Linked DNA regions of Macaca fascicularis. The protein of the gene in region 1 purifies or fractionates together with the protein of each later gene. This does not show direct contact. Links are inferred from orthologs where the notes say so. Each region holds a gene or a part of one and is shown on either strand. Other genes may lie near its edges.

Region 1 (5,235 bases):
ATCTCACTAGTTTTTTTTAACTTTTAAAAAATGTGGCTCCTAGTAAATTTTCAATTACACATGTATTTTACACTATACAATCACCGTTCTGTAACCGTGGGTTCTGCATCTTGGGGATCGACAATATTCAGGGGGTAAAAAAAAAACTGTATCTGTACTAAACACCGTACAGACTTTTCTTGTCATTATTCCCTAAACAATACGGTGTAACAATTTACATAAGATCTACATTGTATGAGGTATTATAAGTAATTTAGAGATGATTTAAAATATACAGGAGGATGTGCATAGCTTATATGCAAGCACTACACCATTTTATATCAGACTTGAGCATCCCTGGATTTTGGTATCCAAGGGAGGTCCTGGAACCAATCCTCCATGGATATCAAGAGATGACTATATGTATTTCTAACGGACACTGCTGGTCTAAACAGACCAATAGTTCCAGGCAGTACTAGTTCCTCCCCCAAGTCAGTAGTCTAGTTATCCAGCAAAGCCAACCTGTCGTTGCTTCCAAAAGTCTTGCAGGAACCTCACACAGCCTAGTCCTAACAGTCACGTCATAGCTGAATCTGTTTACAAAATCCACCCAATGACTATCCATCATACTCAAATCCTTCCAATGACAAGAAATTCATCAACTCCCAAAGCAGCAACCCTTTTCACCTTTGCACAACTCCTGAGAATTAGACAGTTCTTCCTTATACTTATGAAGATCGACCTCTCCAGAGGGCTGATCTTAGCCTTACCTTACCCCTATGAGTCATTCAGAAAAGGCTCAAGAACAGGAGAAACTACCATTTGCAGACCACTTCCAATGTACAGTGTAAGCTTTAGCTTACTGTAGCATTTAACTCTCACAGCAATGCAAGAGGTAGAAACTGTTATCTCCATTTGGTTGATAATGGGGTCTACAGAGCTGAGAGAGATAAAAGTGATGGCTAGGGTACCATTCAGGAAAAGCATATTTCAAACCAGAGGGGGCTGACTTCTAAACACCTTTATTCAGCGTTGCTTTTGTGGTTATGTTCTCAACATTCTTCTCTCTCCCAATTATCTGGCTTATTAGTAGCTATGGGCTCAATCCAGAAGCAATCCTGCCTTGGCCGGAGTTGCCCTTACCTGTCTCAGCAGCCCCAAGGATGTCCAGTCTGTCACGGATGGCAGGTGCCAAGGTCAGGGCTTGGATCGGTGTGGGTGCAGAGAAGCCTAGAAAGCTGAGTGCTCGGAGAACCGGCCTGGGAACAAACAGGTCCTTCCAAGCTGACACATCTGCCTTCTGATCATGAACTTCAGGAATCCATGTCTTCACTTTTTTGGGCACCTTAACAGCAGTGCTCTGAGAAGGCTCCAAACCTTTTTTCCCTTTATTTTTCTTCTTTTTTGGAGCAGTTTGGACCAGGTTTTCTGATGTCTTCTCTCCAGCCTCCGGATCATCACAAACCATGCCATCTCCCTGGGCCTCCAGCTCAGAATCTTTGACTTCAACCTCTTTCTGGGTACTAGTTCCTTCAGTTGCTACATTTTTACTTTTCTTCAACTTCATCTTTTTCTTTGGTGAGCTAGACTCTCCCTCCTCCTCTTCTTCTGAAACAGCTTGTGCCTTTCTCTTGGGTGCCTCCTTTGAGAAGAGACTCGAGGGATTCTTGGCAGGAGAGACCAACTGGTAATCTGTCAATTCCTCAAAGCATACCAAATCATCCATCTGTCCATCTGCAAACATATTTGGGTCAATCTTCACTTCCTTCCATTTTCCCACAACTTTGATTCCCTTTGTCTGAAATTTGCCATAGTTTGATGCCTTTGGCCTTGATTTTGTGTCCTTCAACTTCATGGTTGCTGAAAAGGAGATACATGTTCTATTAGGTTGGTGTCTGAGAAGCAGAGGGTTCTGATGCAACAAATATTTTCTAAGCAACTAGGCCCTACAAAGAACTGAGGATACAAAGACGGCTATCACACAGTTGCTCCTACCTAGAGAAGAACAAAGAAGGAAATACCACAGAACAGACAGCTTTGCCCGAAACACAGGGTACACATGTGATGGAACAAAGACGTATGAGCTAGACCTGGTTTGAATTCCAAATTCAACACTTACTGCGTGTGTGACCTTGGATAGTGCCACCCACTCCTCTCTGAACTTCAGTGCTCTCATCTATAAAAAGGGGGAAGAGTACCTAACAATATCTAAGTTGTATATTTTGTGTAAATAAAGGAAATTATGTAAAGCACGGAGGATGAAGCCTGCCACACATAAGCCGTTCTGAAGGCAGAGTAAGAATCTGAGGGGTTTTTCTTGTGGGGGCAGGAGGGGTGAGCTTTATTAAAAGCGTATTGCGCTTGCTTCCTTCTCAAGCCTTGCCTGAGAGAGCAAATGCCTGCTCTACCATCCCTTCCTTTGCCAAGCGTCTTAAAACCCATCCAGCTTTTTCATCATATTTTAAGTGGCTTAAAGGCCATTTAGGCCCAACTCGTTTGGGTGGAACTCGATCCAGGTTTTTCCTTTTCAGAAAGCCGAAGGAAGACAACACGTTCCGTGAAAAAGACCAAGGTAAATCTTGGTTCAAATCCGGATCCACCACTCGTCAGCTGTGGCTCTGCGGTGGACGTATCCATCTCTGAGTCTCTATTTCCCCGTCTGCATAATGGGAATAACGAGGACATTTGTCCCACAGAATCGTTATACGCCACTACGAAAAAGTGACGCACGTCAAAAACCGCTGAGCATGGCGCCCGGCGAGAAGAGCACGTTCGCACACGGTGCCCGCCGGACCCGCTGCGCCATGGCAAAAAAAACACGCGGGGTTCAGCGAGGAGAGGGCGGGGGGTGCCACGCGAGGAACCGGGCGAGGACACGGGGAGCGTCAGGCAGAGTAGAAGGGCCTCTGTTTCCTCGTGACGCCGGTCTCGCGCGGCGCTCTCGCTTTGTCTCAGGCACGAACGCGCGCACGAAACCGAGAAGCCGAGGCCGTCAGGCCCTGATGCCCAGACAAGGAGCCCAAGGCGCGGGGACCATGGCACGCAGCTCGGTTGGACGGCTTGGGCCTGCGGGCGCCCTCTCTGGACCCGGGAACCCACCGGCCCAGAGAGACCTGCGAATAGGAACCCGGGTTCCTGGCCTCAGCCCCTCTCCAGGGTCCGCTCCAGCCCCGCTCGTTTTGGTACTCACCGTGTGAAGACGCCACGGCAGCTCCGTTGGTCGCCGGTCAGGAGCCTCAGAAACCGCCGCTGTACCTCAGCTGCAGAAGCAACCGCAGTTCCGGGGCGGGACCTCCACACACGTACTCGTGCGCGCTGCGGAGGAAGTCCCACCCCTATGGCAAACTCAGCTATCTGATTGGCTGCCTCGCGGACCAAAGCTGTGCTGATGGGAGAGCTGGCTTGGGGCGCTGGCCCCTCCTCTTCCAGCTCTGCTCCTCCCCGCTTAGGGAAAGGCCACAGAAGGTGAGGTTCTGTGTGCTCCCTCCGACTAGAGACTTTGTCAGGTACCTCACAGTAACGTGTTTTCTTTTATTTTTGGTGTAGTTTTGTTACCAGAAAGGGGTCCCGATCCAGACCCCAACAGAGGGTTCTTGGATCTTGCGCAAGAAATAATTCAGGGCGAGTCCGCATAGCAAAGCAAAAGCAAGTTTATTAAGTAAAGTGGCGAAAGTGCGGCTACTTCGTAGACGGAGTGGGGCGTTCCCGAAAGAGGACGTACGCGTCCATCGTAGGGAGATGTATTCTGCTACAAGGGTGACCTGTGATGAGTGTTCCTTGTATTGTAATTGTTTGGGGCCGCCATGAACTGTGCCCATATAAGACGACAAACTTAATTGATAAATGTTGTGTGTGTTCAGACTAATCCACTGACAGGCCGTTCTCCCTTCTCTCTCCCTTTCCTTGGGACTCTATTCCCTGAGACACAACAGTATTGAAATTAGGTCAATTAATAACCCTACAATGGGCCTCTAACTGTTTAAGTGAAAGAAAGAGTCGCACATCTCTCACTTTAACTCAAAAGCTAGAAATGGTTAAGCTTAGTGAGGAAGGCATGTCAAAAGGCAAGATAGGCTGAAAGCTAGGCTGAAAGTTTCACCAAAAAAGTTAGCCAGTTTGTGAATGCAAAGGAAAGCTACTGAAGGAAATTAAACATTTTACGCTAACGAACACATGAATGATAAGAAAGTGGAACTGTTTATTGCCGATTTGGAGAAAATTTTAGTAGTTTGGATAGAAAATAAAACCGGCTACAACATCCCCTAAAACCAAAACCGAATCCAAAGCAAGGCCCTGATTCTCTTCTGTTCTGTGATGCCTGAGAGAGGTGAGGAAGCTATAGAAGTTTGAAGCTAGAAGAGATTATTTCATGAGGTTTAAGGAAAGACGCTGTCTCCAGAAACATAAAAGTGTAAGATGAGGCAGCAAGTGCTGATGGAGAAGCTGCAGCAAGTTATCCCCAAGATCTAGGTAAGATCACTGATGAAGGTGGCCACTGAACAGCAGGTATTCAGTGTAGACAGAACAGCCTTCTATTGGAAGAAGATGCCATCAAGGACTTTCATAGCTAGAGAGGTCAATGTCTGGCTTCAAAGGCCAAGCTCACTCTTTTGTTAGAGGCTAATGCAGCTAGTGACTTTAAATTGAAGCCAGTGCGTGTTTACCATTCTAAAAATCTTAGGTCTTTTAAGAATTACACTAAGTATAATCTGCCTGTGCTCTGTAAGTGCAACAACAAAGCCTGGATGACAGCACATTTGTTCATAGCATGGTTCACTGAATATTTTAAGCCTACTGTTGAGGACTACTGCTCAGAAAAAAGATTTCTCTCAAAGTATTATTGCTCATTGAAAATGTGCCTAATCACCCAAGAGCTCTAATTGAGATGTATATGGAGATTAATGTTGTTTTCATGTCTGCGAACCAAGATCCATTCTTCAGTCCATGGATCAAGAAGTAATTTTGCCTTTCAAGTTTTATTATTTAAGATACATTTTGTAAGGCTATGGCTGCCATAGATAGTTATTCCTCTGATGGATCTGGGCAAAGTAAATTGAAAACCTTCTGGAAAGGATTAACTATTCTAGATATCATTAAGAACATTTGTGATTCATGGAAAGAGGTCAAAATATCAAAATTAACAGGAGTTTGGAAGAAGTTGATTCCAGTTCTCATTGATGACTTTGAGAGGTTCAAGACTTCAGTGAAGGAGGTAACTGCAGATGTGGTTGGAAATAGCAAGAAAACTAAATTTAC
Region 2 (5,274 bases), on another chromosome or scaffold:
TCAGCACTCTGTTAAAACGGACCAATTAGCTCTCTGTAAAATGGACCAATCAGCAGGATGTGGGTGGGGTCAGATAAGTAAATAAAAGAAGGCTGCTCCAACTAGCAGTGGCAACTTGCTCAGGTCCCCTTCTATGCTGTGGAAGCTTTGTTCTTTTGCTCTTGCAATAAATCTTGCTGCTGCTCACTCTTTGGGTGTGCACCGCCTTTATGAGCTGTAACACTCACCACAAAGGTTTGCAGCTTCGCTCCTGAAGCCAGCAAGACCACAAACCCACCAGGAGGGATGAACGACTCCAGACGCACTGCCTTTAAGAGCTGTAACACCGCAAAGGTCTGCAGCTTCACTCCTGAAGCCAGTGAGACCACAAACCCACCCGAAGGGAGAAACTCTGAACATGTCCGAACATCAGAAGGAACAAACTCTGGACACACCATCTTTAAGAACTGTAACACTCACCACGAGGGTCTGTGGCTTCATTCCTGAAGTCAGGGAGACCAAGAATCCACCAGTTCTGGACAAAAAAGGTGTAAACAGCCACAGCCTCGCTTAAAACCCAACCACCCCCTCGCATTTACAACAAAACCCCAGTTTCATACTTTGACACACAGAGCCATGGGACTCCAGCCTGCCCCCTCGCAGCTCTTCCCTCCTACGCTGGGCTCCAACCCCACTGCTGGGTCCTTCTTTCTATACCTAGGAACACATGTGTAGGCCTGTCTGATCCAGCAGATGGCAGGGCCTCAGTTCTCCAGACCCTGCTCCTTAGCCTTCAGGCTTCGCTGCCAACACCACCTCCTAAGGGGGACCCTCCTGCGTCACCCAGTGTGCCTCTCCCCCACGAGGTTCTTTCATCTCTCAAAGCAGCCATGCTGCCCCAGGCTGTAAATTCTCTAGGGGTCTCCACACAGGAGGGGCTCACACACTAGTGAGTGAAATAACCAAATTAGGGCTGGGCACGGTGGCTCACACCTGTTATCCCAGCACTTTGGGAGGTTGAGGCGGGTAGATCACCTGAGGTCAGGACTTCGAGACCAGCCTGACCAACATGGTGAAACCCCATTTCTACTAAAAATAAGCCAGTGGGGCGTGGTGCGGGCGCCAGTAATCCCAGCTACTCGGGAGACTGAGGCAGGAGAATCACTTGAACTCTGAAGGCAGAAGTTGCAGTCAGCTCAGATTGAGCCATTTCACTGCAGCTGGGGCAACCAGAGCGGAAACTGTTTCGAAAATAATAATAAGCAAATTGAGGAATGTGAGCAGCATCTCGGGCACCAGTACTGTTTTATAATTGTAGACCGCCTTTCTAAGTAGGCGTGAAGGTAATTGTTTCAGGCACTCTTAAGCCAAGCCAATCGGCGCCCCTACAGCGGAGGGCGCGGAAACTATCCCCAGCCCAGCCCCAGACCCCACTCCCCCCCGCCCCGGGGCCCCCCTGCCCCGCACCGCTCTGTCCACCCCCCCCCGTCTCCACCCCCACCCCTGTCCCCACCCCACCCCCGTCCCGCCCCACTCCCCACCCCCGCCTCGGCACAACTCACGCCCGGTGCCGCGCCTCCGCGCGACTCATGCCTCTCCCCGCCCCTCGCCAGGCCTCGTGCCCCGCCCTCGCACCACGGCACAATTTATGCCCCGTCCCGCGTCCCGCGCCCCGCGCCTCGTGCCCCACCCCCGCTTCTCCGTGCTACTCCTGCTCCAACCCCGCGCGCGACTCATGGCCCTCCCCACCCCTCGCCACGCCTCGCCTCCGCGCTTCGCCACGCCCCTGTCCTGCCTCTACTTCCGCCTCAGGGGAGCTGGGAGCCCGTCGTTTCCGGGAGCGCCGCGTGGAGTTAGTGTTGGCCGCTTTTGGCATGGCGGCTTTTTCTGGCCCAGCTGGGCCGATCCTGTCGCTTAACCCGCAGGAAGATGCCGAGTTTCAAAAGGAGGTGGCGCAGGTTCGCAAGCGCATAACCCAGGTGAGCAGGCACCCTGGTCCAGGCTGCGAGCGGGGGCGACGGACAGGGTCTAGGGGGTATCCGGGGTTGCGCGGTTCCCCGCCCGGACTCCCCTTGCCTTCGCGCACGCCTTCCAGAGTATCCTTAGCGGATTTGACCGAATCAGGGACCCACCTCTTAAGCTTGCAGGCCACGGTTTCTGAGACTAAAGGGTTTACGCTGGTGGGTAAATGATGGAGAGGTTTGGCCGCTGAGGCCTTGGAGCCTTCATGTGGAGGGTAAGGGGGAAGTATTGGGGTGACGGAAGCCGCGGAGGGAACCACCTGGAGGGAATAGGTTCCCATACCACAGGTTGTCTCCGGGTTAGACCTGTCACGCTTCCGCGTTCCCCCCGAAAACGGGGGCCCCAGACTTAACACATTCGGGAGGTTTGTATGCCGGGTTGGTGATCTGGGAGTTATTAAAATAGAGTAGTTGCCAGGTTCCGCTTGCTGACCAGGGCCCCTGACATCGCTTATACTTTCTGTGGTTTTTAGCATAAACTACACAGGAAAACTTAGAAGTTCTTGTTACAGAGGTAAGGGTATGATGGTTGAGACGCTGAAAGGCTAATCTGTATTGTGAGAGTTAGCAAGCGTCTCGAAAATTTTTCGATGAAATGCGAGTAAACAGTAATATGCATACAAAATTGAAGGCTATATTTATGTAGAGTTCTCTGGGCAGAAGATCCAAAATGGCTTGTTCGAAGATGTCCTTGCTTATCCGTTGATTGACATAGTTATTGAGCACTAACATTATACTGGGTGCTGGGATGCCAGGCTGGAAAGATAGTTGATTACTGCTTGGCCATGGCCTTTGTGGGGAGAGAGACACTCAACAGCCACTTCTTTAATTACTACTGTGGTAAGTGGAAATGCGGAGTAGGTTCTTGGGCCTAGGGCTAGGGGTTTTGTAAGTTTTGTTACAATGTGATTTTCTTATTTTAAAAAATATTTAATTTACCTGGTCTTTATGTCTTCAGCGGAAAAAACAAGAACGACTTACTTCTGGAGTAGTCTATGTGGGCCACCTACCTAACCTACTTAACGAAACCCAGATCTTTTCGTATTTCTCCCAGTTTGGCACTGTGACACGATTCAGACTGTCCAGAAGTAAAAGGGTAAGATTTTTAAAGTTGGATTTGACGTTTTGTTTTTCAAATGTGTGTGATTCTTGACATTAAAGAGCACGTTCACATACTCTTATCAGATTTCATTCCAAAAAGAAGAGTGGAGGTTTAGAATCTGAAACATAGAATCCCGGCACATAAACTTGGGTTGTAGCCATAGGCACCTATTTGATTTAGCATCTAGGGGATAGGGTGTGCATCCATCATCTGTTAGTTGTCCTAAAGATACAGATTATAGGTAGAATTGAGGTCCCTTTTGTACCCTTCCCAGTGTTCTTCACCTTCTCCTTTAATTAGGGAATTAAATTCACAAATTCCGTTTTCTTTTTTTTGAGACAGAAGCTTGCACTGGAGTGCAGTGGTGCGATCTCAGCTCACTGCGACCTCCGCCTCCCAGGTTCAAGCGATTCTCCTTGCCTCACCCTCCCAAGTAGCTGGGATTATAGGCACCTGCCACCACACCTGGCTACATTTTTTTTGTGTTTTTAGTAGAGACGGGGTTTCATTAGTTGGCCAGGCTGTTCTCGAACTCCTGACCTTGTGATCCTCCCACCTCAGCCACCCAGAGTGCTGGGATTACAGGCGTGAGCCATCGCTCCTGGCCACAAATTCAGTTTTCATTGCTATATATGTTTATAAGTTTTTACTGTATCTATATATATATGTGCTACAACACGTGTGTACATATATAAATGTACATATAGTATTATTTTAAAATTATTTCTATCATTCTTCAGCTGAATTTTTTTACTCAATAATCTGAGCTTTATCCGTGTAACTCTAGTGCCTTTGTTATCATCATTGCTTGTTACTTAGGTAACTAAAGTTTATCCACGCTCCTATTGAACATTAGGTTTTGTTTTGGGGTTTTTTTTTTTTTTGAGACAATCTCACTCTTGTCACCAGGCAGCTGTAGTGCAGTGGTACGATCTCAGCTCACTGCAACCTCTGCCTCCACATTCAAGTGATTCTCCTGCCTCATCCTCCTAAGTGGCTGAGATTACAGGTACTGGCCACTGCACCTGGCTAATTTTTATATTTTCAGTAGAAACCGTGTTTCACCATGTTTTGGCCAGGCTGGTCTCAAACTCCTGACCTCAGGTGATCCGCCCACCTCGGCCTCCGAAGGTGCTGGAATTACAAGTGTGAGCGAGCCACTGTGCCTAGCCTGAACATTAGGTTTTTTACTATTTTTAACTCTTTACATGAAGCTGCTAGGAACAATCTTTGTGCAGGTATAGACAGATTTTTCTAGAAGAGCATTTTGCAGACTGGCTCACAATAAGAAGTAAGTTTTTACCATCACAGAGAAGATGAGGGTTTTCAAAAAAAGTTTCATAGCACAAACCAGCACACATACACATACATGTAAGCATAACTGAAATAAAAGCCATATGAGACAATATTTAAACTTGTTTTGTGTGATTTGCTGATTTTCTATTTCATTCTATTCAGGGTTTTTTTGGTTGTTGTTTTGTTTTGTTTGAGACGGAGTCTCGCTCTGTCGCCCGGGCTGGAGTGCAGTAGCACAGTTCCTCAGCTGACTGTGACCTCTGCCTCCCAGGTTCAAGCGATTCTCCTGCCCTCCTCCAGACTAGCTGGGATTATAGGTGCCCGCCACCATGCCTGGCTAACTTTTTTTTTTTTTTTTTGAGACAGAGTCTCGCTCTGTCACCCAGGCTGGAGTGCAGTGGTGTGATCTCGGCTCACTGCAAGCTCTGCCTCTCGGGTTCACGCCATTCTCCTGCCTCAGCCTCCCGAGTAGTTGGGACCACAGGCGCCCACCACCACACCTGGCTAATTTTTTTTTTTTTTGGTACTTTTTTAGTAGAGAGGGGGTTTCACTGTGTTAGCCAGGATGGTCTCGATCTCCTGACCTCATGATCCTCCCGCCTTGGCCTCCCAAAGTGCTGGGGTTACAAGCGTGAGCCACCGTGCTGGCCTTCCCCCCCCCTCCCCGAAACGGAGTCTCACTCTGTTGCCCAGGCTGGAGTGCAGTGGCGCGATCTTGGCTCACTGCACCCTCAGCCTCTTGGGTTCAAGCGAATCTCCTGCCTCAGTCTCCTGAATAGCTGGGATTACAGGCGCACACCACCACCCCTGGCTAATTTTTGTATATTTAGTAGAGATGGGGTTTCACCATATTGGTCAGGATGGTTTCGAACTCCC

What was found. Proteins that work in one complex are often made in the same cells at the same time.
Region 2: the proteins of DDX24 (region 1) and NIFK purify together in Homo sapiens (affinity purification with mass spectrometry; 3 studies listed by BioGRID and IntAct, counting the BioPlex papers as one, with this or other methods). This does not show direct contact. The link is inferred for Macaca fascicularis from reciprocal best matches to the Homo sapiens genes DDX24 and NIFK.

Annotation. Positions count from the first base shown.
Region 1 is NC_088381.1:162,093,867-162,099,101, forward strand, and holds the start of DDX24 (ATP-dependent RNA helicase DDX24), read right to left. Parts: upstream 3,262-5,235; 5' UTR 3,170-3,261; intron 1,840-3,169; 5' UTR 1,835-1,839; coding exon 1,123-1,834; intron 1-1,122. UniProt on the Homo sapiens protein: ATP-dependent RNA helicase that plays a role in various aspects of RNA metabolism including pre-mRNA splicing and is thereby involved in different biological processes such as cell cycle regulation or innate immunity.
Region 2 is NC_088386.1:10,002,442-10,007,715, forward strand, and holds the start of NIFK (MKI67 FHA domain-interacting nucleolar phosphoprotein), read left to right. Parts: upstream 1-1,835; 5' UTR 1,836-1,853; coding exon 1,854-1,958; intron 1,959-2,958; coding exon 2,959-3,096; intron 3,097-5,274.